Oreochromis niloticus: one gene and its partner. The protein of the gene in region 1 purifies or fractionates together with the protein of each later gene. This does not show direct contact. Links are inferred from orthologs where the notes say so. Each region holds a gene or a part of one and is shown on either strand. Other genes may lie near its edges.

What was found.
Region 2: the proteins of ckap5 (region 1) and slain2 purify together in Homo sapiens (affinity purification with mass spectrometry; 4 studies listed by BioGRID and IntAct, counting the BioPlex papers as one, with this or other methods). This does not show direct contact. The link is inferred for Oreochromis niloticus from reciprocal best matches to the Homo sapiens genes CKAP5 and SLAIN2.

Annotation. Positions count from the first base shown.
Region 1 is NC_031972.2:38,739,392-38,752,229, reverse strand, and holds the start of ckap5 (cytoskeleton-associated protein 5), read left to right. Parts: upstream 1-7,660; 5' UTR 7,661-7,988; intron 7,989-12,838. Other genes in the region: cstpp1 (centriolar satellite-associated tubulin polyglutamylase complex regulator 1), read right to left, coding at 816-946, 2,337-2,439, 2,516-2,558. UniProt on the Homo sapiens protein: Binds to the plus end of microtubules and regulates microtubule dynamics and microtubule organization. Acts as a processive microtubule polymerase. Promotes cytoplasmic microtubule nucleation and elongation. Plays a major role in organizing spindle poles.
Region 2 is NC_031986.2:37,134,448-37,146,418, reverse strand, and holds the start of slain2 (SLAIN motif-containing protein 2), read right to left. Parts: upstream 6,173-11,971; 5' UTR 5,910-6,172; coding exon 5,425-5,909; intron 1,202-5,424; coding exon 1,059-1,201; intron 1-1,058. Other genes in the region: anapc4 (anaphase-promoting complex subunit 4), read right to left, coding at 7,076-7,324, 7,526-7,649, 8,645-8,812, 8,940-9,017, 9,095-9,196, 9,296-9,334, 9,417-9,478, 9,583-9,680 and 8 more.

The DNA of each region.
Region 1 (12,838 bases):
CACACTTATTTCTAGTGGGTGATAGAATCTCCCAAGGCTGCTTTGACTGATTTTGTCCATGATTTTTATGGACAGAGTTTTAAGGTCAACAGGTCCAACCAAAGGTTGTAGTGTGTCAGGGTTGGTAGTCTCAGAATCTCATGTCCGCTTTTTACAAGTGATGCTCACTCAGTTGTCTTCATTATGGCTCAGGTGGTAGAGCAGGTCACCTAATAACCGCAAGTTGGTGGTTCGATCCCAGTCTGCCCTAGTCTGCATGCCAAATATCGTTGTACAAGATGTTAGTCCCATATTATTCTCTGGTGGGAGCGCATGTGAATGTTAGACAAAAAGCACTTAGAACCAGCATAGAGAAAAAGTGCTTGTGTGAATGGATGAATGAAACAAGTTGTGTAAAGCACTTTGACTGAGACAGAGTACAAGGGCGCTATATAAGAATCAGTCCATTTACCATTAAGAGATACCCTCCAGCTCGGAGGATTCCAGAGTTTGGTTCGAAGCTAAGTGTTAAGTGTCTTGAATGAGAATTAGGACCACAAACTGTGAGGCCAGAGTTCTCAATCTTAACCCAGAGTGCACATTCTGGGTTAAGAAAAAGTTGCTGTCCCAAGTGGTGAGGTCTTAGTATCTCAGGAGAGTGACAGATGGATAGGTCTGTCATCAGCAGTAGCACAGTAGCAATAACATCCTGAGAGTGAATCCAGGCTGGGATATTTCTGTCTGTAGTTTCCATGTTCTTTACTATGACTACATGGGCTCTCCCTGGGGGTACTCCAGCTTCATTTCACACTCCAGAGACGTTATTGTGTTCTCACCTCCACTTTTGCCAATCTGTCTGTAGCATTTCCAGAATACTCGAATGAAGGATGCTCTGTTATGTGGAGTGGCCTGGATGTAGTTAAACTCTCTGAAGAGGACGTGGTTGCTGTTCTTTACACTGCTGAAACTACAGAGACATTACAAACCCAGATATATTATATATTTCACACACACACACACACACACACACAAATTTACTCGATTTCTCTCTGTGATTAATAAAGTCTCTCTGACTCTGATATGTCTATATAAATAACTTTCTCTCGGGACAAGGAAGGGAAGCTGCGCTTGCCTTATCAAAGCTCCCCACCTGCCACCTTGTGACCACAGGGAGTTAGAATTGCTGCAGCTCTCTCTGGTTTGAGGGCGTGTCCATCTCCTGGCCAGCAGCTTTTTTTTCTGGTTGTTTTGTGCATGTGCACTGTGGATAAATTGCTAGTCTTTAACGGTAAACTGATGGGAGACCAGTGTGAGAAACAAGCTGCCGTTGGCTCGGCTTTCACTGCTCTGACACCAGTAATAAACTGTGCTTTGTATGGAAACACGGGCACCATTACCCTGTAAATTAGCTTCAGTCAGATTCAACATAACGGATGAGTTTCTTCTTGGTAACCACCTTGGCCAACATGTGTAATGTAGAGAATATGGTGTGAGAAAAAGTTTTTATTAACTTCTTTAGTACTGTGACAATAATCAAGATGGGATAGTAGCTCAGACCATGTCTGCTCTAATAAAACAGGCGAGTTAACCAGGCATAGACTCAGCAGCGTTTTCAGATTAACATCTATAAGATTTCCCGAATGTAGATTTTTTTCATTAATATGTTTAATTCCCCAATAGATGTATGCACAAGCTTTTCAATTCAACTGTTTTTATTATTAATGTATTTTAATACACTTTAAAAAAAATCATGATGAAGGACTGTGAAACTGAGCTCTTAAACAACAATTTCTTTTTTAGAGATTAGATTTTTCAGAGATATGCGATGCTCACACAACAGCCACACATATGATGAATATGATTAATATGATACTGTACATTAGGGCTGCAGCTATCGATGATTTCGGTAATTGAATAATGTATCGATTATTCCATCCATTAATCAAGTAATCAGATAAGTTACTTATTCCGATCTCCGTGTTCCAGATGTTCAATCTACAGATTCACCATTTTCACAGACTTTTCCTGTCTGTGTGTCACTGTGGAATGCAGGATTAAAGACCTGAGGGGGGGGGGCTCCATCTCCAGCTCGTGCAAATGCATGTAAGTATCAATATGATCTTCAGACAACAATGAAATGAAGATAGTATTGATACGTATAGCTTGTGCATTTGCGCGAGTTGGAGATGATAATCCTTTTAAACCGTATGACACACCATTCCTTGAACATGACGAAGTAACAACAAGAACACGGTGAGTCGAATAAGTAAACAAATCTAACTAGTTAACGTAAGAACCTGTTAACCTGAAGCACCGGAGCTGCAGTCTCACTGTTTCAACAACTGTGTGGAACCTACTATTCAGCGAAGTAGCGAATCACTCCGAACTGGTTGTATTCCTCTTTGTGTTCTAGCAGCTGGATCACAGCATCATTCAGGTAGAACAGCACATTGCTGTCCGCTGGAACACAGACACACACACAGATTATAAAGTTAGCCTAGGCGCTAACTGACACAGCTAACAACACACGACCTACCGAGATACTGGTCAGCGGGAACCGTGGGGTTCAAACGGTTCATTCTGCTCTTCCCAGAGAAACCCACTGAGACGAGACTTAATAAATACGCAGCTATAATCGGTGAACAGTGCAGCTATTTACTGTACGTACACTGTGTTCTTATTACTCGGAATTATGTTAGCTAGCTGTCGTGAGCTGGTGGACTTCCATGGAAACCGCCGGATGTTGTGAGTTACATTAATCAGAGCCCCTCGAACAATACTACTTACAAAGATTCCCCTTTGAAAGCAAATGTTTTACAGAGCTTTCAGAATAAAAACTGAGAAAAATTGGAACTTGTATTTTGAATTTACAGTTACAGAAAAATATTCACAAATGTGTAGATTGATATTCTCACAAATAGAATAAAATAGAATAGATCTTTATTGTCACTGTTACAAGAACAATGAAACACAGTTTGGCATCTCTCTCTCTCTCTGTGTGTGTGTGTGTGTGTGTGTGTGTGTGTGTGGATAGATAGATAGATAGATAGATAGATAAAATGAATAAGTGAGTGATCAGAGCAGTATAAGGTGCAATGTGGTCAGTGGTATTGCGCATTAAGTAAGGAATAGGAATGCTGGTTGCTACTATAATAAATACAGTTATATAAATAGAGAATGTTGGTTGCATTATAGTATAATAAATATGGTTCATAAATACAGTGTAAATGTCCATGGATTTTAACAGCACAGTTAACCTTCAATCAGGGTGAGGGTAGGGCATGTTTGACAGCCTTGATCTTGACATTGAGTCTGTTTGTCTTTGACCTGATCGACCTGTAGCGTTTACAGTAAGGAAGGAGAAAAAAAAGTGAGTGTCCAGGGTGCAAGGGGTCCTTGATGATGATACTGGCTTTCCACTGAAGTCTGCTGGTATAAATGTCTCTGAGGGGGGTTAGCGAAGTGCCAATTGCCTGCTCTGCCGCCCTCACCACCTGCTGCAGTTTTCTCTTGTCCTCCACAGTACAGCAGTTGAACCAGAGTGTGCAGCAATAGGTCAGAAGACTCTCGGTGGTGGAGCGGTAGAAGTAAATTAGAAGTCTGGAGTAATTGCATCTGCTACAGCTTCCTGAGAAAGTACAGCCTTTGTTGTGCTTTTCCTACCTGCTGGGAAATGTTTTTAGACCAGGTAAGGTTTTTACCGAGATGTGGACCCTGAGGAACTTGAAGCTGCATCAATGTAGAGGGCGGAGTGCTCAGATCGCCTTGTTCTCCTGAAGTCAATTACCATCTCCTTAGTCTTGGCTGTGTTCAGATGTAGGTTGTTGTTGTCACACCATCGCTTCAGATGCTGAACCACCTCTCTGTAGGCTGAATCACTCTATGTAATCACCCAATCAGTCCTATGTAGGTGGTGTCATCAGCAAATACACTGTGAGCTGCAAACTTCTCATTTAAATTTTACTTAAAGTAATTAATTAATTAATTTTTGTACTGCTTACAACCACATCTCCGTGATTACAACCTCTTAAATCAGTGAATACAAGCACTCGACTGTTCCCTCTCAAGTCAGATCATTATTCTGCAATTTTGCAACACTTCTTGGGAGAAAAGCATTTCAAAACTTGCACTTGTAACTGAAGGGGGATAAAAAGGGGTGTTGGTGGTGGTGGAGGGAAGGTATGGGGGGGCGGGTAACGGCAGTAGAGGTCAGCCAATCAGAAGGCCTCTGTCCTCTTTTCACCATGTTGGATTCGCAACTACAAAGCACTGAGCCTGGTTTCCTTCAAAACTTTGTTTAGTACATTAGCACTGTGGTTGATTAGGAAATTAACACAGACACAGCAGTCCCCCATTCCTCATTAGGAGCAGCAGCAAAAACCAGAGTGAATGATCATTTTAGCTAACGGCACTAGTTAACTAGCTACCCAGCGTACACTGATCAGTAATACACTGTTATAACAGTTCTAATCCTTTTTAACAGACCTGAATGTTGCAGCTGCATAACACACTGTTGATGACGACTGTGATCTGTTATCTTTGTACCAGAATAAAGAGGGAACCCAGAGTATGAGCAAGTCCAGTGTCTCAGTGCCATCCTTTCTGCAAAGGCTTATGAAGTCACATCCACCACAGATTCTCAGGACCACAACAGCTATACCAGCAGTATCTTCTCACTCAGTTTATCCCACTGTTGGCAGTAAAAGAGGACTTAGTTCATCTCTGAGCCCTCACTCTGAACCACAGCACTTTTCGCAGGGACATCAGTACATCACACTTTAAATCACACTAAACTAGTCTTCCTCAGTACTTTCATGCTGACTTACCCATATTTATTATGCTAAAAGGAAGCAGTACCAAGTTCATACCAACACTTACAAGTTTACAAGTTCATAATAAATCCCTGAACTCAACAGATAAAGCTGCCTCTGCTGTCCTTTTTTTGTTCTTTTGATTGATTGGTCATTTTGTTTTGGTTAGTCTGTCCAGCAGTAAAGGCCGTTATGAATGATTGAGAATGAGTCTTGTAAGGGCGGACTAATCTCTTTCTTGTTTTTTCGTTTATTTGTTTGTGCCACTTCCCTTAAAGAACCCAGGTTGTAGGTCATACATAGCGCTGATTCCCAGCTAGGCTGTTTGCAGTGCGTGCCCACAAGTAAATTGATTGCGATTTCTCTAAAACTGGGTGTGACAGTTTTCAGTGTAGTGCTATTTGCCTGCACCTTTGGTTTGATAGGTCTCATGTGCAGCTGGGATATTACTAGAATTTATTTCTTTGGCATTTCATTCGACACCTTAGTGCTTGGTTATATAAATGTTTAAAGTAGATCATCTTTAGTTATTTCGATTCAGAAACAACACAGAATTATAAGTCAAATGTCTCCTATGTGTGTTGTCCGTTATCCGTGGCTGTACTATCCATGGAAAAAGACAAACTCTCTATACTTAAATGTTTCATAAACATTCTTTAAGATACTAAAATTCAACTCAAATTAGAGAGGCTGGGATTTGGTCACTTCGTACAGCCAACAACAATATTAGAGCACTTTTCAGCCCAAATTGATTTTGGGGCAGTCAGTTTTGTCTTATCAAGCCACTCATACCTGGAATACAATACCCTCAGAAATAAAGAATATATAACATTCTTTATTTCTTTTTCTAAATTTGTGAAATAGTGATTATTGGATAATCAAACATGTTGTCATGACATAATGCCCTTGAAAGTCCGATTCTAATGTTTTGGGGGATTTTTTGTAAGTGATCATAGTGTTTGATCTTTAATAATGGTATAAGGACATGTGTTTATGTCACAAGTGTTTCTGTATTTTACTTATGTTCACACGCTTCAAAATGTTTGGTTTGTTGATTTATTTAATATGCCATTAACCTGCCAGGGTTTATGAAAATGAGTCTGTGGGTAAATCTGGCATATTTACATGATGAATTTAAGTGCTCACGTTAATTAATAAGTGTTATCCCTTTTAAATAAACACAAACATTTACAAATTGTATTGATGATCACAGCCATCACTAAAAAATTAAACTGTGCATGGCCCTTGGTGTGCTATGTCCAGCTGATATTGAAATGTGTGTACTCATGTAATTAAAACATATGAACAAATGAAAAGAAATTATCTCTACTCTTATTGTTGTCAACAACAGCAACAACCCACAATGAACGGGTCTTGACAAGGTAGGGATCCCCGACACAGTTAGGTTCCCCTGTGTCGGGAGCATGCGCTGGCCTGTCCAAATCACGGACAAACAGTATCCGTCATTCTTGATTTTTAGTTTGCAAACATTTCTTATAATGACTTGTTACTACTGAAATTTTGGAGGTTTTAGCTTTTTATACAATCAAATTACAGGAGGATACATATTACCAGGCATAATGTCGTCGGTTTGTTGAAATAATCCCGTCCGATAATATGTGAGAACAACAAATGTATCATTTCTGTTGTAACCCACAAACTGAACGGTAATTTAACGACACCCATCTTTTACTTTCTCACTAAACTAAAACGTCACGACTTCCACGTCTGTTTAGTTTGAATGGAGGCGGAGTCAACTGGATCCGGTTTCCCTGCCCAGCGCGTCCTCCAGATGCAGGGGAAACTAATTCCTTCAGATATACCTACCTTTACCTACCTTGACACGACACAATCATTTTATGGTGGCCATCAAATTCTGCACTGAGCTTTGGAGAGAGTTTTATATATCCTTTATTTACCCGGATTAAAAGTGTCGTTGACATTAAAAATGTGTCTTTCGAGAGGGCCAAGAGGGCAGCAGAAATTGTAACAAACATAACATAACAGTTCTATAAACTTACTTAAAGTGACCAAAACGCACTGCATTGATGACAATATGGGTACAAATACGCAGAGTCATAAAGATACTTCAACAACAGGCTATTTCTTTCTTCTATATATAACCCAATCATAAATCATGTTCACTACTGTCTATGTACTAATATGAGTAAAAATATTCGACCGTAAAAGACACATAAAAACATCGGAAATCGGTTTTTGGTATATCTCCAAAAGTTGAATCTGTTCATCTGGACGTAGCGTTTTGTGGGAGAAACGTTTCTCCCACAAAACGCTACGTCCAGATGAACAGATTCAACTTTTGGAGATTTACTTTCCTGGATGATTGAGAATGCATCAAGAGGTTTTTGGTATAACATCGCTCATCCCAAACTGCACATAACTAAAGTTTAAAGGGCGTGCACGAAACAAACAAGTAGTGTTTACATAGACAATAGTAGTTTTGAGATAGACTTAATTTCAGAGTAGCCAATGAAATCTCTTCTGAGAAAGCAATGCACGCGTTGTTCCAATCAGCTAAGGAAATTCACACATTGAAGGCGGAGCATATTTCAAACGCAACCAATCTCTCTCCACATCTGTCTCCGTCTAGTGAAAAACAAGGAAGCCCATTAGATGAATAAGTAGTCACGTAAGTAAAATGTCACTGTATGAATGTAGCATTTTGTTTGTGTGCTGCTTCTTCTCTGTCCATGACAGGTTGCTTATGCAGTCGGACTAAATATTAAAAGTGATTCAGTACTGGAGTGACGTCGTTGGGGTGGTGTCCCGCTCTCCGCCCCGCCTCTGTCTGTCCGGCTCTGGAGAAATTTGAAAAAGCTGAAAGAAGTTGGACGTATTTATCGAAATCGGAAGTGGGCGTTCATTTGCGTTTAAAATAAGAGTTCAACACACGCATATTTCACAGACAGAAAAACAAATATTTTCACATCCCAGCCCAGAAATACTTTTTCGAAGTTTTTCTTTTAACGAATACGCAATTTATGTAAATTATATTTAAAATTTGTATTAGATAGGAAACGGCCCAACTGTCTGTTTTATTTTGTACCGGAACAGTGTTGAATCTCCTTCGAGGCAGAGAAGCACTTGTATAAAACTCGACTGGACCCGCAACAGTGATCACTATCATCCTCATCGAATTGGAGAAGCAGCATCGTAATTTTTAACAGCCGCAAACAGGTATTATGTTAAAGATTATTAATATTATTATTATTTTAAGCAACTACAAATCATGTTTGAATCGGAGCTAGTTGTGATGTAATGTGTGTAGCTGCGAACTGCGCTGTTAGGCCTGGTTATGTTGGCGCGGATGGAAGGTTAGCTTGTAGCCTTGTTTCTAATCAGCTAACAGCTATTATCAACCACCAGTAAATTAACGGCGAGGTTTGACTTTGAAAATAACTTATGCATAATACAATTTTGCACGACATGTTTAGCAATGTTTATTTGTCATTAGCGATAGCCGTGTGTGTTGATGCGGGTTGGACCAGAATGAGCGGTTAACGGGGTAACGTAGCAACTGTCACTGTTGTTGCTAAGTTAGCTAGTTAATGGCCCTCAGTAACTAACGTTAGTAACTAACGATTGCTAGTTATGTTATGCTGGCCACTCCCATACAAACCGGGAAAGCAAACAATCAGTGAAATGGGTAATTGACGGCACGGTTGATAACCAAAGTGATTGTAACCAGACCGAAAAGCAGCTGGTTGGGTGTATTTAAGGGGGAATCTAGTTGATAAAGGTTAGCTGTGCTCATTTGGTTGTATTTTAGTTTAAGTTCTGTAATACTGAGAGCTAGAGGTGTAGTGCTGCTTTTTTTGAGTAGGAGAGCTCACTGATCACATGTGTTGAGTTGTAATTTGTTTCTAAGGCTATTTCACTAAAGTCACAAATTTACATTACTCAGATATACCTGAGAAAAGTAATCAAATGTGAGACTGAATTTAAGAACATCATCAGTTTTTACATGCTGTTTACGGCTGTCTCCTTCGTGGATGTCTTCTCTTTTTCCATTCTTTCCTGTTGGGTAGTTGTCAACTCTTTCTCTAACTCATCTCTCTCCCTCACCTATTCTCTGTGTTTTGGATCTTCTACCTTTCACAACATTAAGCTCCTTTTCCATTAGTACCAACTTGGATCGACTTGCCACGGTTTTTAGGGCTTTCCATTAGGTCATAGTACCTGCTCGGCTGGGGTTCCAAGTGATTTGAGCAGGTACTAAAATGTGACGTCAGACTGCATGCCACTGATTGTCTGGTCAGTGGCATCACTCGAGTCATGAGACAGTCTCATTCACGAAAATCAAAACTGCCGTTTTTGAAACCTGGCAACAAGGGAAATGGCTACAAAAAACAATGCCATGGTCCCAGAGTCCGATGAAAAGCTACAGACTGAGCAGCAGGTATGTTCTTGCCTTGAACTCCATCTTTGCTGTAGTGTTCCTGTCGCATACCAATTACATCACTGGACACTGGCTATGACGACAACCACGCACATTAGATGGTACTTGATTGCAAACCAGTTGATCTGAGTCGAGTTGATCCAAGTTGGTGCTAAAGGTAAAGGAGCTTTAAAGTCAGATTTATAGATTTATCCAGCAGCTTAATTGGATTAATTGATTCATCCAGAGGAGACCTGCTTTATATCAAGCTCTTCCACTGTTTAAACCTAGAATGTTTTACACCTGACTTGTACGATGTGCATAACACAAAACGTTATTTACTGTCAGATCCTGACACATCCCTGTATTGAATTTAGAAGGCAACTGTGTCTCACATGCTCAAGTGTGCCATTGCCCTTGTTTTTTCTTGTATGCCAGTGTCTGGTATATTAAAGTCAGCATGAATATAGCAACTCCATTAAAGTGGTTTGTGGTTTTCATCAGCCAGATTGTGCTACAGTAAAGCAGTCTTTCAGCATTAAAAAGCTACTGTTGGGATTTAAGAAAGTGGTGCTAAGTGGTTTGGACTGAAAAATGTGGAAACGGGAGATATTTTATTTGGTTGGCCTTGTTGCATATGTATTTATATGAATTTCCCTTTAACAGGACACATTTTTTTTTTTTTTTCAGAGAACAGTTACTAAATAGATTATACAAAGATGATTAATTAGGATTTTTGCATTCAGTTTCATTGTAAATGTAACAGTGATATTTTGGTGGTGGAATTTGTGATGGTTGGAATGAGAGGAGGAAATGTTGTCAGAGTGCCCAAGTGTCACCAGTGGATGCCTCAAAGCTAGCAAAGGTTTTAGCCATATACTCACATTGTTAAAACTTTGGCTATATACTGTACAGAATATGATTTTGTGTCTCGGCAAAGGCTGTGAATTTAGAGAGGGAGCAGTCAGAACTGAAGCAACTGTACTACCAGAAGGAAATGGCTACAGCATTAGAGACAATGAGGGCAGCTACAATGACCTCTGAATCCCACAGCCAAATAGGAATTGTGAAGAGGCTGCTAGGAAAGCCACAATCACCAAATATCTGCAGAGAGTAAAGCAAGTCCTAAGGAGTCAGCTGAATGGGAAGAACAAGATCTAGGCAATCAACACCTACGCTCTGCCAGTGATTAGACACCCCACTCGGATAATAAGCTGGTCAAAGGAGGAGATGGACGCCACTGACATCAAGACAATGAAGCTCCTTACAATGCATGGAGAGTTTCACCTCAAATCCAGTAGCCCGAAGGCCTTTTCACATAGGCTCTGAAACCCATTAATTTCTATTGCATGTGCCGCATGCACGATAACGGTTTCCTGCTGAATTAAGCAAAGTACAGCGTAATCGTGTCAGCAAGGAGTTCTTGCACAGCATCTGTGCTGTGACATACCTTTGCATCACCAATAGAAATGAAGCCAACAGCCACGCTAAGTTCAACCACTTGATGAGCAAAAACATTAGTGCATATCAGAGTTCAGTGAACTTTTTGACAAAACTTTATGTGTGTATGTAGAGACCTCCAGAGCATTTGAATAAGCCATTCCTTTCAACAGTTCTGGAGACCTCGGGAGAAAAGCAGTGTTGTGGAAATGACTGTGTCGAGTATGGCCTGGAAGTCATGATGTTAAACTGGGACATGCTCCTTAGGGTTGTTGAGAATGACCGAGCTAAGATCCTGTGGGACTTCCAAATACAGACAAACTGGTGTTGGCTAACCAACCGGACATAATATTTGTGGACAAACAGAGCAAGGCAACTGTAATTGATGTCGCTATATTAAGTGAATGCAACAAAGGATCATGAGAAGCTTGAAAAAAGTACCACGAGCTGAGAGAAGAGCTTGAGAAGATGTGAAGGCAACAGTGCTCCCAGTGGTAATCAGCGCAATGACCCCAAGCTGGACAAGTGTCTCCAGCAGATCCCAGGAACAACACCCAGGATCTCTGTCCAGAGGAGCGCAGTCCTAGGAACAGCAATGATGCTACGCAGGACCCTCAAGATTCCAGGACTTGGGTAGAGGACCCAAGCTTGAAAGGGGACATGAAATGCTACACATATAAAGCCTAACTTGCATCATAGAGCCCAGCTCTCAAAAACGGACAAATCTAACACTGTCTGTGAAGCTGGATTTAAGAAATAAGTTTAAAAAACATGTTTAGCGCCATCTTCTCTCAGTGTACATTACGTCAGCAGGTTGTTTGTTTGGTGTAGGCTTGCATTAGTTAGTTATATGTTCTGTCATTAGTTGGATAACAGCGTGGAAAGCAAGGGGACTAAAACTAAAAATCTGTTTAATGGGATCACTTTTGTGCTGCCCCTGGATATAACAATGTTAAAACAAAGGATATACGGTCCACTTTGACTGTCTGGCTGTCTTGGCTTTCCCAACTCAGCTTTTCAAAAATTTGCATTTGTTCAAGTGTGATCAGTGATCAGTCAAAGTCAGTTTGCAGCTGTTGGCACAAAGGTGAGATGCGCCCTCCAGTTCATAGTACCCCCAGAGTATTTTCATTTATTCAATAAAATATTCACATTTGTTGTCCCTGTATCGACATATCGCCACACAAAATAATACAGTATTTTTAATATTGTAATAATTTAATCTTTGTTTTTGTTTTGTTTTTTTGTGTGTTCTATGTGGTTTTTCTCCTCTCTCTCTTTCGAACCCTAGTATTTACCTGGATAAGCCAAAATCCTGCTTGGTAGTCCAGGGCTCAGGACTTAAGAAACCAATGAATCATGCCATGGTAGCTAAGCCAAGTTAACAAAAAGTCAGAGCTCTGTTGAGTCATCATTCTCTTAACCTTAACTAGTAATGACTTCATGAATTTCTTAACAGCAGGGACGTTGTAAGTTAACTTTGAGAATCATTTAATGAAAAATGTCAATAACTAATAAAAGCATTTTGAACCGTTTATTGTATTCTTGAATAATGGATCATGCAGCTTAACTGTGCATGCATCATGCATTATCAACATTAAAATCTAGAGAGAGCCCATCTACCTTTCAGAGAAAGCTCATTTCCAACCTTCCTTTTTATCTAAAAAATTCTTGAAAGTGTAGTTGCAAAATGGCTAACTGATCACTTGCAGAGGAATGGTTTATTTGAAGAGTTTCAGTCAGTTTTCAGAGCTCATCACACTACAGAAACCATATTAGTGAAGGTTCCAAATTATTTTCTTGTTGCATCTGACAGTGGGCTCATCTCTGTGCTTGTCCTGCTAGACCTCAGTGAAGCATTTCATACAGCTGACTATTATTTTATTACAGTAATTAGAGCATGCTGTAGTTATTAAAGATACTGCTCTGTAGTGGTGTGAATCACATCTATCTAATAGACTCCAATTTGTTCATGTAAATGGAGAGTCCTCTTCACACACTTAGGTTATTGAAGGAGTTCCACAAGATTCTGTGTTAGGACCAATTAAACTTAAACTATGCATGCTTCCCCTTAGCATTAGATGGCATAGCATACATTTTCCATGATTTGGTACTATATAAATAAAATTGAAATTAAATTGAATCTCTGGGCGTTTCCCAGTGGAGTTTGGTGCTTCATCTAGCCAAAGAAATAACTTTACGCTATGTA
Region 2 (11,971 bases), on another chromosome or scaffold:
ACTACAATGCGCCAACTACATATACACCCTTCTTGCAGACTCTGAGCAGTCTTGGAAAGAAAATATAAAAAGGACTACGCAACTGCAGTGTCCACAGCTGTCTGCATGCACATCCTCAAGTGCCAAAACTAGAAGGCATGTGGATGTCAGCTACCCTACTGTCAGAGCCTCGCGTTCACCCTTTGATAGCAAAACATATGGATCCAAACAGACTGAAAGTATAACAGCCTCTTAACTAGGGACGGGAATTGATAAGAATTTAACGATTCCGATTGCATTATCGATATCACATCAGTTTGATTCCTTATTGATTCTCATTGGGTTTTCATTAGCTCGGCTTTGAGAGTCACCATCATCGCTAAGCAGTACATCAAAGACATTACATTCATGTAAATGAATTGCATGCTGTGTGGTCAAATGTTCCTGAATGCTGGATGCATTTCCCCTGTTGGGGTCATTGGGGTCATTACTCAAAAAAAAGTAATATATTACAAATGTTACACAGAACACTATTTTAAATATCCATATGAACGCTGTGGAGTGCAGACTGAGTTACTACATTCCTCTTCCAACACATGAACTGAAATCAGCTAATTGTAGCACAAGTGTAAGTGAAACCAATAAGCGGCATCAATAAACAGGCAGACCAACAATTCCAAGGAATTGAACTACTGGGAACTGGTTCTCTACAAGAACCGGTTCTTGATTCCCATCCCTATTTTTAACATAAATCAGCAACCCAAAAAACAGATGCAAGCACTAGCAGAAGAGCTGGTTCAGTGATTGGAAAAAAGTAAGAAAGCACATTCTGCATAGATGGCTTTTTGGTTCTCTTCAGCTCGAATGTATCATGTTTGTTCGAAGGCCAGCCAGACAATTGTGGACACAAATGAACATATCTCAATACAGACACTAATAGAGAAGCCCAATGATCCAGATAACATAGTCTGGTACACATATTATTTGTTTCTGACCTCTAACATACCAAAAGAAAGATAAATTAAGTGCATTGGTATTGTAATTACAGTTCAAACAATTACAACTATGCTCCTGTTTACCTGACATGGTGAGGTCCAGTCTGTGGATGAGGGAGCGCTTGGCTGATTCCATCTCGGGACTCGGATTGTCCAGAGCTTGGCGGCACCACACGATAGGACTCAAGGCTTTTTGCAGGGGACTGTTCAGCTTTGCCTCATATAACCTAAAAAAATATCAACAGCAAGTTATTTTTCTCCTCTAATAATGACCGACAGATCACACCTCATATATGATGTGACTCAACAGCTTGAAAATGAAATGTTATTGAAAGGATAACAAGCTGCTAATTTGGACCTGGTTTTATTACAAAGTGCTGCCTTTTAGTGGATGATGTGGAGAGGCAGGAAGGAATTTATGCTTTCTTAGTGAAAATAAAAGAAAAAAATCTTGTGCGGCATTTGTCTTAATGCTAATTTATTTCAGACATAAATATTTAAAATCTTGAGCCCCTAAAAATATAGTAAATACCCTTTTATTTATGTTGCATGTGTTGAGTTTTAAGAAATTTTAAGAATGAACAGTCTTAAAGAAAAAAAAAAATCTGAAAAGACCATAAATATCAATACTTAATCATATGTACTCATTTAAATAGTCAAACACTTTTAATATGGCTTCAAGTTAAACTCAAGGCTTGCAGGGAAAATACAGCCTGAAAATCACTTCACACTCACACACCTAGTTGCTCTGCAGAACCAAGTGCACACACCAAACTGAACAGAGAGACACAATGACACCTCATATGCAAACTGACAAGCCAGCGAAAAACAAAATGTGGGAATTTTTTTTTGTTTTCTAAAGTTGATGCTGCAGGCAGATAATTTTACCCGAGCAACCTCCAGAGCTAGAAGATTAAGTTAAAGTGCCTAAAAAAGTAGCTCTTTAATTGGTCAATTCCCACACGTTCTAGTGTTAAAATGTTCAGCAGCATTAAAAACCATATTTATAGCCTGGTACAAAAATGTTTGGGGTTTTTTTGGGGTGTGTGACTGCTTTGGGTGAGAGGTGTTGACAGGCCACTGGAGCTGGTCAGTGACTGCTAGGTGCTTAGAAGTTTAGGCTCCAGTTTTGATGAATAAAATTCTGGTATTTTTTTTAGACCATTACCTGGCACCAGTTACCAGGTATCTGTTTCCATTCACTGCACCCATACAAGTTTTTGCAGCTTGCTAACAAATCTATCTGGCATTAGCTCATAACTTAGCGCTGCATCCTATGTCCACATATGGTAACTTCTGGCTGCAAAAACCAAAATAGGAGCAGCCAAAACACTAACAATGAATCTTCAAAATGCAGAGTCCAGAACCACTGGATGATGTCATGGTGGCTACACCCACCATTTCTACACACATGTGACACACTGAGTTAACTACAGCTTTACTGAATGTAAAGAAAGACATTTGTTTACCACGACATAATTTCTGCTTACAAATAACATTTGTGATGTCATTTTGATGTTTGAATCCATAACAGCAAGAAATACAGTCATAGACAGAGAACTAAGGCTTCATTAAGTTGCTGAACTGAAAAATGACAAAATTTATGTTACTTTTGATTGCAAAAGTATAGAACATGCCTAAATAAGCTAACCTAACAAGATCATTGGAAAAGAAATAACACTGAAGTACATACAGCTTTACCTGAGATAGCTGATAAGCTATCAGCCTCGCCTCATTTCCATATTAAGATGAGGTCAAAAAGTGCATTGGAGCAAATGAATTGTGACTGTGGCACTTTCAGTGGCTGCAAAATTTATATGGTTTCAACTTCTAACAGTCTAAACATGTTTTCACTCATCAAAATTGAATTTAATTGTGTTCCCCATTTATAAAAGCAATACAAATGTTTATGAAGAGAAGAGAAGAGAAGAGAAGAGAAGAGAAGAGAAGAGAAGAGAAGAGAAGAGAAGAGAAGAGTTGAGTTTCCACTCAGAGGAGAAATCTGAGTCAGCAGCTGTCAGCACTGTTGCAGCCATTGAGGAAGCCTTTCAAGATGAAAGCAGAAACATTACAGGCAAAGCAAGAGCAGAGAAATACCGGCCTTAAATCGGCACTGCACATTGTCATTGTTTATCAACACAATGACAGCCATTCACATGTGGTACAGTGCAATGTAAAACTACATCTGAAACAATGATATGTGTCATGCGCATGCAGAAACAGGAGCGCAACGGGCATCTATTGATAGGCCGAGTGCTGCAGGAGCAGGCAGCCTTTTTAAATCCACTCTGATGCTAATTCATGGGATTACAGGAGTCTGTGACAGGAGCTGGCAAAAGCTAGGCACTATAGGCTAATCCCAGATATCAATCTAATCCAGAGGATGGACAAACAGCCAGGGCATAATGAGACTAGCTTGGCTGGGCATGAGCAAGCAATGTCTGCAAGTAGTCTGATGCCGAGGGCTCAGTAGCTGGCATGGGCATGCAGCTGCAAGCAAGACAGTAAAAGCTGAGTTAGCTCAAATAATAATTACAAAAAATGCAAACTGATTAACAGGATTCACGTTTATCCTCCCTTGAAGAAACAGTGTCTGTGTTAGGAGTGTTCTAAAAATGTAAGAGCACTTGGCGCATGTTCAACTTCAAAACAGATGATATGCCCTGATTGTAGCAGCTTTTAAAAACTGCTATTAAGACGCATTAAGAGTTACGCCCTCGTGTTGCCTACTACAATATCATTACCATAGCAGAAGCAATGCATATAAGCCCGTCCTAATAAGATAGATAACCATTTCCTGAAGAAAAGGGCCATCATTATATTCTCATCCAGTCAACAATGATGGTCTTGGAAGTACAAAAACAGTCAAATCCAATTTAGTCTGGAGTTTGACGGGCTGCACTTCTTTTCTAAAGCCATTTAAGGGCAGAAATGTGCAGTGCTTGGTTAAATTGCATGGGCACAATCTAGCGGGAAATTATATTGAAATACATAGGAGTTAACAAGCAGAACAACAATATTGTATTAGTTCTATCTTCCTCTACTGTAAATGTTAAAGTGTTGCTGTCACTGTCTGGTGAGTACAGTGAAAGTCATATTTTTTTAAAGATTTTTAGCCTGTAATGTTACAATCCAAAAAGTTTCACGTTAATTACATTTTTGCAGTGTAATACAACCTCTTGTATGATTTGGTATCTCTTCAAGGGCAACTACTTTCAAAGAAACATGGATTCCTTGTCAAACTTGGCTGTAATGGCCTAAAATAGAATAGTTGGTTTTGTTGCTTTTTTTTAGCTTGTATGAATATCAGTTTTATGCATTCCAAGTCTGGCTTTAAAATGAATACTATTAGAAAGACCTAATTACAACTGGTGGATTAGCAATAGGTGCATCTAAAGAGAAATATAAAAATTTAAAAAGCAAATTTCAACTAAAATTGTATAAATACACTCACTTTTAAAATACTAACCCCTGATATCTCTATTTTGGGGGGAAATTACAAAAAGTACATGTAAAGATCTTAGAGGTTACAGGAAATACATCAGACTAATGAAGCTTGCTTTTTGTTCATGATGCAATCACAATCTAATGATCTGGCCTGTGGTAAAAACATTTTCCCTTTTTTGTTTGTCCCTTTAATGACAAAACATCAAGACATGCACAACACCTTGGTTTGAGGGAACTGCTACAACCCTTGCCTAATGCTAATTTTATACACAAGACACTCTCTTGTGTATAAGATTAACAGTTTCCGTTTATAACCCCTGTTAATGCAATTCTTGTAATCATCTCTAGGACCCTGGCATAACGTTTATTTCTCCATGATGATGAGATAACTGTCCCATTTCACATCTCTCACTTGGTGCTGCAGAGCACTTGTAGCTGTGTGCCAACTGCTGTGCTAAAGGGATTTCAGAAGAGGAATATAACCATGGCTACCTCTCCCACATGGCTGCTGGGCAGGAAAACAACTTTGATTTTTTTACCGTACAACACTGACACGACAAGCCAAGCAATCTGTCACATCACAACACCAAGGAACTGATGATTTCAAACCCCAGTCAGCTGAGAGCCTATTGCCACAGGCCTGCTGATCTATCTCTGAAACTAATGAACAAACTCTAAGCACGGAAAGAATGGAGAGCGGTCTGACAACGACTGTAAGACAAAGCCTGTCTTTTATATTCAGACAGTCACAGAAGTGCCTTGGGATCGCCCATATGACTTGCCAAACAACATCCTGCAGTCAGTAATCCACAATAAGGCTCCTTCAGTCGGGATGACTTCAGATTTCAGACAAGCTACTGAAATGATTGTTCATGCCAGGCGTTTGTGGTGGCAGCTAATGTGCATAGCAGCTGTGACCAGGCATTTAAAGCTGTCACCCAGCCCCGAAGACAAAAACACGGCCGAGCAGGCAAGTTACCTCCCAAGACAAGCTTTGACTCACCAGCTGTCCTCGTCTTCGTTTAGACAGTCCATGTCTTCCAGATCTAAGATTTCCACTTCATCTAGGATTGAGGTTTCCCCTTCATCCGTGAAGCCCCTGCTAGTGTCTGAATAAAGTGAGTTCATACTCGATAAAGAGGTGGCAGCAGATGCCCCCTCACCCTCATACGCCCTCCTGAAACTGATGCCGTCATAAGAAAGTCTGGGGTTTAAACAGCGGTTGTTCTCCAACAGCCCACCGTAGCCGCCCGTTCCAGCGAACCCCACCCCAGGGAAGCCGGCCAGACCGGCTGCCATCCCTGCTGACAGGGACGACGAGTCGTATCCGGCGCTCAGGGGTCTGTGGTTCCCTGACATCGGTCCGGACGAAGACAACATCGTAGACCTGCTCCGGAGCTGCTCGTTTTGTTGTTCGAGTTTCTTCACCAAGTCCTGGAGCTTCCGCACCTCCAAGTCCGCGTTGATATTAGAGTTGATATCCTCCATAGTGGCTCCTCTCAGCCCTACGAAAATATGCGGTGGTCGGGGGTATTTTTAGGCGTTTCTTCGCCGAGAGTCCCTTTGTTTTTGTTTACTTCACTGCTATATGGGTGTTCAAAGAAGACACTTTGGTGTTCAACCGACTTGAAAAGCTCAGCGTCGTCATCTTCTCCGGTTATTCGTGCTCACGGGTCGGGTTGAGGCCATTTTCATAATACTCGTCACCAACTGTGAAAGACCAACAGGCGGCGGAGAACACACGTCACCACGTTGTATATCGGGAGCGACCACGTAACCAACACCTATTTGCGCGTGCACATATAACTACACCGTTATAGATATGGATCGAAAATTTGGCTACAGAAACCACATTGTAACATATGAATGAACTCCTAAACGCAGGATTTTGGATGTTTATTTGTGATTTACTACATATTTACAACTAACCGCCTGGGTACAGTCTTATACATTTATAACTACTGGGATACGGAGTTCAAAAATCTAATAATTCTGAAAAAATTAACTTGCTGATCAGATGTAGATCGCTTTTTAGGCCTGCTGCTTCTGTTACCCTCCAATTATGGAGTATCCTCAGATTTTTGAAGGACACACTGCACACTATGCCAAGATAAATTTACATTTTATGCTTGTCAAACTGTCATTTTTGGCCTTTTTCACAGTATCAGCTAAATAAATGGGAACAGATTAAATGTTTGGACATTTTCTTTGAGTGAAAAAGCAGCCAAAGGCCTTCAGAACTTTTGCTGAATTTGTAAATGACTAAAAATCTAAAAATTACAAGGTCTTGCAAGGGATTATTAAAGACTTTTGCATAGCAGTGTAAAATGAAATACTAGGCTTCATCTTCTGATAATCTGATGACAAAACCTTTATAGTATTATTATTAAGGTATAATTGAGAACTTTATTTAAAAAAAGGATCCAAATATTTTTAAATAATGCTTTCTGTGCCACAGTCCCTTCCGGTGGGACCCCATTAAAAAAATCCTAGTGAAGATAAAACAAACATGAGAATGTAGCTTTATTTTTACATCTTCATTTATTTATTTATTTTTTACAAATGCTGTGAAAAACTACAACAATAACAGCAAAACGTAAGTAACAAAAAAAACGAAAGCTGTAGATTAATTTATTGGAGATAGCTTCTCAGCCTCAGGGGAGATCCAGGGCCTCCTCTGATTCCAGGTGCTCCTCAGATTTTTGAAAAACACCTTCTCCCTCTTCCTGCTCTCCAGCCCCACCTTCAGCCTCCAAATTCTCCTCCTCTCCTTGTCCCTGGCTGCTCATGGTAGCTTCCAGCCCTTCCTGATCAGCACTGGCATTTTGTGAGTCAGCTCCCTCCTCATCCTCATCTTCCACATCCATCTCAAAAACACGTATGTGCCTCAGATTGGTACTTAGCTGCCGGGAAAGAAAAAGTAAATGTTTGGCCACAGTCCACAATATTCATTCACTGGAATTCCCCCACTGCCGGAGAAACATGAGAAGACTGAAAATGGCTTAAACGACATTAGACTGATCACTGAAAAGCACAGCAGTGCAGATGATTCATGATATCGTGAAACAAAATCCACATAAACTAAATATAATGTAAAGTCTTACCACACAGGCCACTTTGCGGATTCCATTAACAGCTACAAACTGGGCTTTCATGTTTTCCAGCTCACGCCACTGATTACCCAACACCAGGCCTTGGGACGGGATGGAACTGCTCTGTTGGTCCAGCCTGTAAATATATGCAAAGGTTAGATGCGCACTTTAAAGTTAGTTTTAGTTTTACAACATGTCATAAACCAACTACATTTACATTTAAGTAGCTCCAACAGATTTAATAAAATAGTACTTAATAATCTGTAAACATGTGAGTAGTTTATAAGTGATATAAGATATATATATATATATACACACATTTGAGGTTCAGCACCATAAAATTAGTAGTTTAATTAGATAAACACAACAAACATGGTTGTGACTACCAGCAATGCTATGTCATTGGCAAAAACTAGTTATGGTTTGAGAGCAATGTGATTATCAAGATTATCAAACTATGAGCACTGGACTATTTTCGAGGCGTGGGGTGAATTTTTGTTTATGAGTCATTCATAGAATCATGGCATTGCAGGTATGGCAACTTTGACAAGTGTCCTGACAAAAAACAGCAGGACCCGATCAGTGTCTCGCATGCCTCAGCTGCTTTGTTGGTCATTAAACTGGACCACTTCACTGTGTGTGTACTGTTGGTACTTTTTAGAGCATTTTCATGGGTTATCTTAATAATATCGTGGCTTGTAATGTGATATAGACCAAGAAGTTTGTTCTTCAGTTTTGGTGAATGAATTTATGTAATTTATTATACAATTTAAAAAATTATTTAATAAAAATAAAACAATGGAAGGATGTCGAGGCAATGTTCAGAAAGGAATGTTGGCACTACTTTTGTAGAGTAAACTGTAACAAAATTATTAGTACATCCACTTTTTCCTTACTTCAAATAAAAGTGGGGTGCTTTATATTTGAGGTGGGCCATTTAAGTTCTAATTTGGGAAGCGAGAGAGAGTCCAGACTGCACCTGGATGGGACCTGCTGGTGTTCTTAGTGTGTTTGCGTTGATGATGTATGTGTCATGTACCTGTGTATCTGTATTTGTTTTTTTTTTAGATGTCAGAAAAAGATTTATAATTATTTAATGAAGATCAATCAAAATATTGCATGAACACAAACCTCAGGTTTGGCTCCCAGTTGAATTCTGTCTCACAGCTTAAGCTGGAAGAAATTGGAATTTGAGCAAGGACACGCCTGGCGTTGAATTCTTCAGATCCTTGTAAGACCACAGTTAGCATTTCATCGTCATAAAAACGAGCATCCAGGTAGCTGTAAACATAATGAGACCTGACAAAAAAAACCAAAACACACCTTAAAATCTTTTGGCCTTGCACAAACACCTCTCTTCAGGTGAGACATTTCTTTGCGCTTATATCTGTTAATACAGTAAAGGAACAACATAAGCGTGACTCACTGGTCTGCAGCATTTCCATTATCCCCACTGTCAAGGTGATGGGTGAGATTAATCGACATGACACTGTTTGGGATAGGTCTGCACAAATATAAAAAATGAGGTTAGAAATGAAAATCAAATATCTAAAAAGTACTTACTGAATTACAGAAATGTACCTGTTTGGGTCAGTTCCTCTGCGTAACAGGTAGAGTTTGTGGGGTGAAATCTCTGGCATGCAAAACACAACATAATGCATTTTGGCCTTTTTGTCATTCCACCTATAGGTTGACAAATGAATAACATTAATTAAAACCCCATCTTGATTTTACAGATAAAAAAAACAACAAAGAACTGTAGGATGTTTGTGTTTTACATACAAAGATGGAAGTTCAAAAAGCCGAGGAGTGTTTTCAGAGCTAAAAAACAAGTAAATACAAATTTAGTCTCAGTGTATGGCTCATATTTAAAATACAACAGATTTTACACATAGGATTATACCTCTCTGGCACGTTGTACAAGGGCAAAAAGATGGCTTGTTTTACCGACTTTCCAATTACTTCCTACACACAAAGAAACAAAAAAGTTAAGAGGAGAGAGGACACAACATTGCCAGCCAGCGTTATATTTTGAATGACTGCAGAAATCTACAGTGCACAAAACTTACTGCAGGTTTCTGTAGACAATTCTCAATCACATTCTCCATCATCCTCTTGACAAAGTGCAAAGACTTTTGGGGATATGAAGGAAACAGCAAAGGGCTCCCTAAATAAACCAACAAAACATTTAATCAGGTGACTAACAGGTATTTTGAGTACATTCAACATTAAAGTAGTTTCACGCCAAACAAAAAATTTAACCCAACTCCAAAACGCACAAAGGTGATAATTCACCTTTCAGGTGTGTGCTGTCCTGTAAAAACTTCAACCACTGGTTCCCCTTTGTGTTGGGTGGAGACACAAGGTCCTCATCTTCGTCCTTCAGGTACTGTAAATGTTATTAGGAAAGACAAACCACTATGCGGTCATGCAGGAGTTCCATTAAAAACAAACAAATAAACAAACAAACAAAAAAAAGACCAGCTAAAGGTAAACATTACAAAACCATTTACCTGTCCAACTCGTTCTACGTTGAAGTACTTCCCTTTACGACCGAAGAGTTCCTCATTCTGTTAAACCACATTCAGTTAAAAAGTTTAAAAAAGTCTTTAAACTTATTAGCATGCTTTTGCTATTATGCTGATCTCACCTCACTAAAATGCTCAGACAAGAAGTCAGCAACAAAGGCAATGTCCTTCTGAGTCATCTAAGGAGTTAAACAACATGTTATGATAAATAATGGATGTTAAAATAATCCCATGAACACTTAAATCATAATAACATTATTTCTAACATTATTTTCCATATATGAATTTGTGCATTTCATTTGCTGGGATGTAGATTACCATACGTAGAACAGGAGGAATGGTTTGTCAGTTTCTAGTTGTTGGTTTGTTAACTGCTTCTAGTAAACATTTATTAAATAAAAAAATAAAGCTCACCTTATTGAGTTCTGGTGGCACATGCTCCTCACACATTCTGAGCATTGCTGTGGGAAAGCAAAAAGTGTGTGAGCATATAAACAGTAATTTCAAATCTATGAATAAGACCTTACATGCACATTAATTATTTTAAATGTTTCAAGATCAACAATTCTTTTCTTTTTTTTATTTCTTACCTACATACAGCCAACGGAAAAAGGCCTTAAAGTTTTTCATACTCTTGTCAATCACCCTAAATGACAAAAAAGTTATATTATACTAATTCTAAAAAACATTAACATTACTCGATTACGGTCCTGAACTTACTGCAGAAGTTCATTTGCTTTCAGGGAAAAGGATCCAACTGCTGTGATAGCGCCTAAAATAACATAAGATAAAATAAAATACACACATGTGACTACTGAAAAAAACCCCTGTTTTAAATCATTGCGCATGTCCTGAAATGCACCTTCTATAGCTGCTGCATCCAAGCCGAGGGGCTCAAACTTTTGTTTCCACAGGGCCATTCCTTTCACCTCACTGAGGTGATACAACAGAGCCTCTGAGCCACTGCAGCCACCAAAAGAGAGAGACAGATTTAAAATGACAACCAGTCAGAGGGTAGGACAGCCATGATGAAAAGTAAAAGACAAAATACCTCTGCAGGTGGCTTATTACTAGCTTCTGGATGCTGGAATAGGAAGACTCAATGGACTGTCCAAGCTTCTTCAATCCCTGTAATAGAAATTAAATTAAATTAAAAAAAAAAAAACAAAACCCAAAAAACATAATTTTCAACTTCACAGGAAGTCTTATACCTTAACGCTTCTTAAGCCGTTTTCAGACATGGGAGACAAAACATTGATGGCTTTACCAATCTGTTAAACTGACAGTATTCTGCCTACTGGACAAAAAGCCCCTTTTACATAATTTACCTGAAGCCTTGATTTGGATCATTTCACAGCACTGAGAGGATGGCACACAGTACTCACACCTATCCTGTGAGTTGTGAGAGTACTAAAAGTAACATCTAATGATGTCAGAGTTTCAGTAGTAGGTTATTTTAAAAATTACAGATGTCACAGCCTATACAGATACACACTTATTTTGCTTATTAGACATGAGCTACAGCACGGCAGCTTATTATAGTGCTTAACGTGTGACTTAGACAGTGATATACACAATGTTATTTGCTGTTACATCCCGTCTCCATGTTAGGAATGATTTGTTATTTATTTAAGCCATGGGAGTTGTGTCAGATGAGTAAAAGAATGCATGATTCTGCTGCTGTCTGACACTTTGTTATAAGCTCAGGAGAAAGACTTCTAGAAATAGCTGGATGCAAAAAACTAAAATAACACTAGAGTTTAATCTGACCTGTCACAAACTGTCTGTGCTGTGATAAATGTATGGTAAAGCTGAGTTCAGGTAGGTCTGTGTGTTAGGTTTATTTGTTTATTTATCTTTATTTAACCAGGAAGTAACATGGCACTGCTCATAGCAGGAGCCATGCAAAATTTACACATTTAAAGTGCAA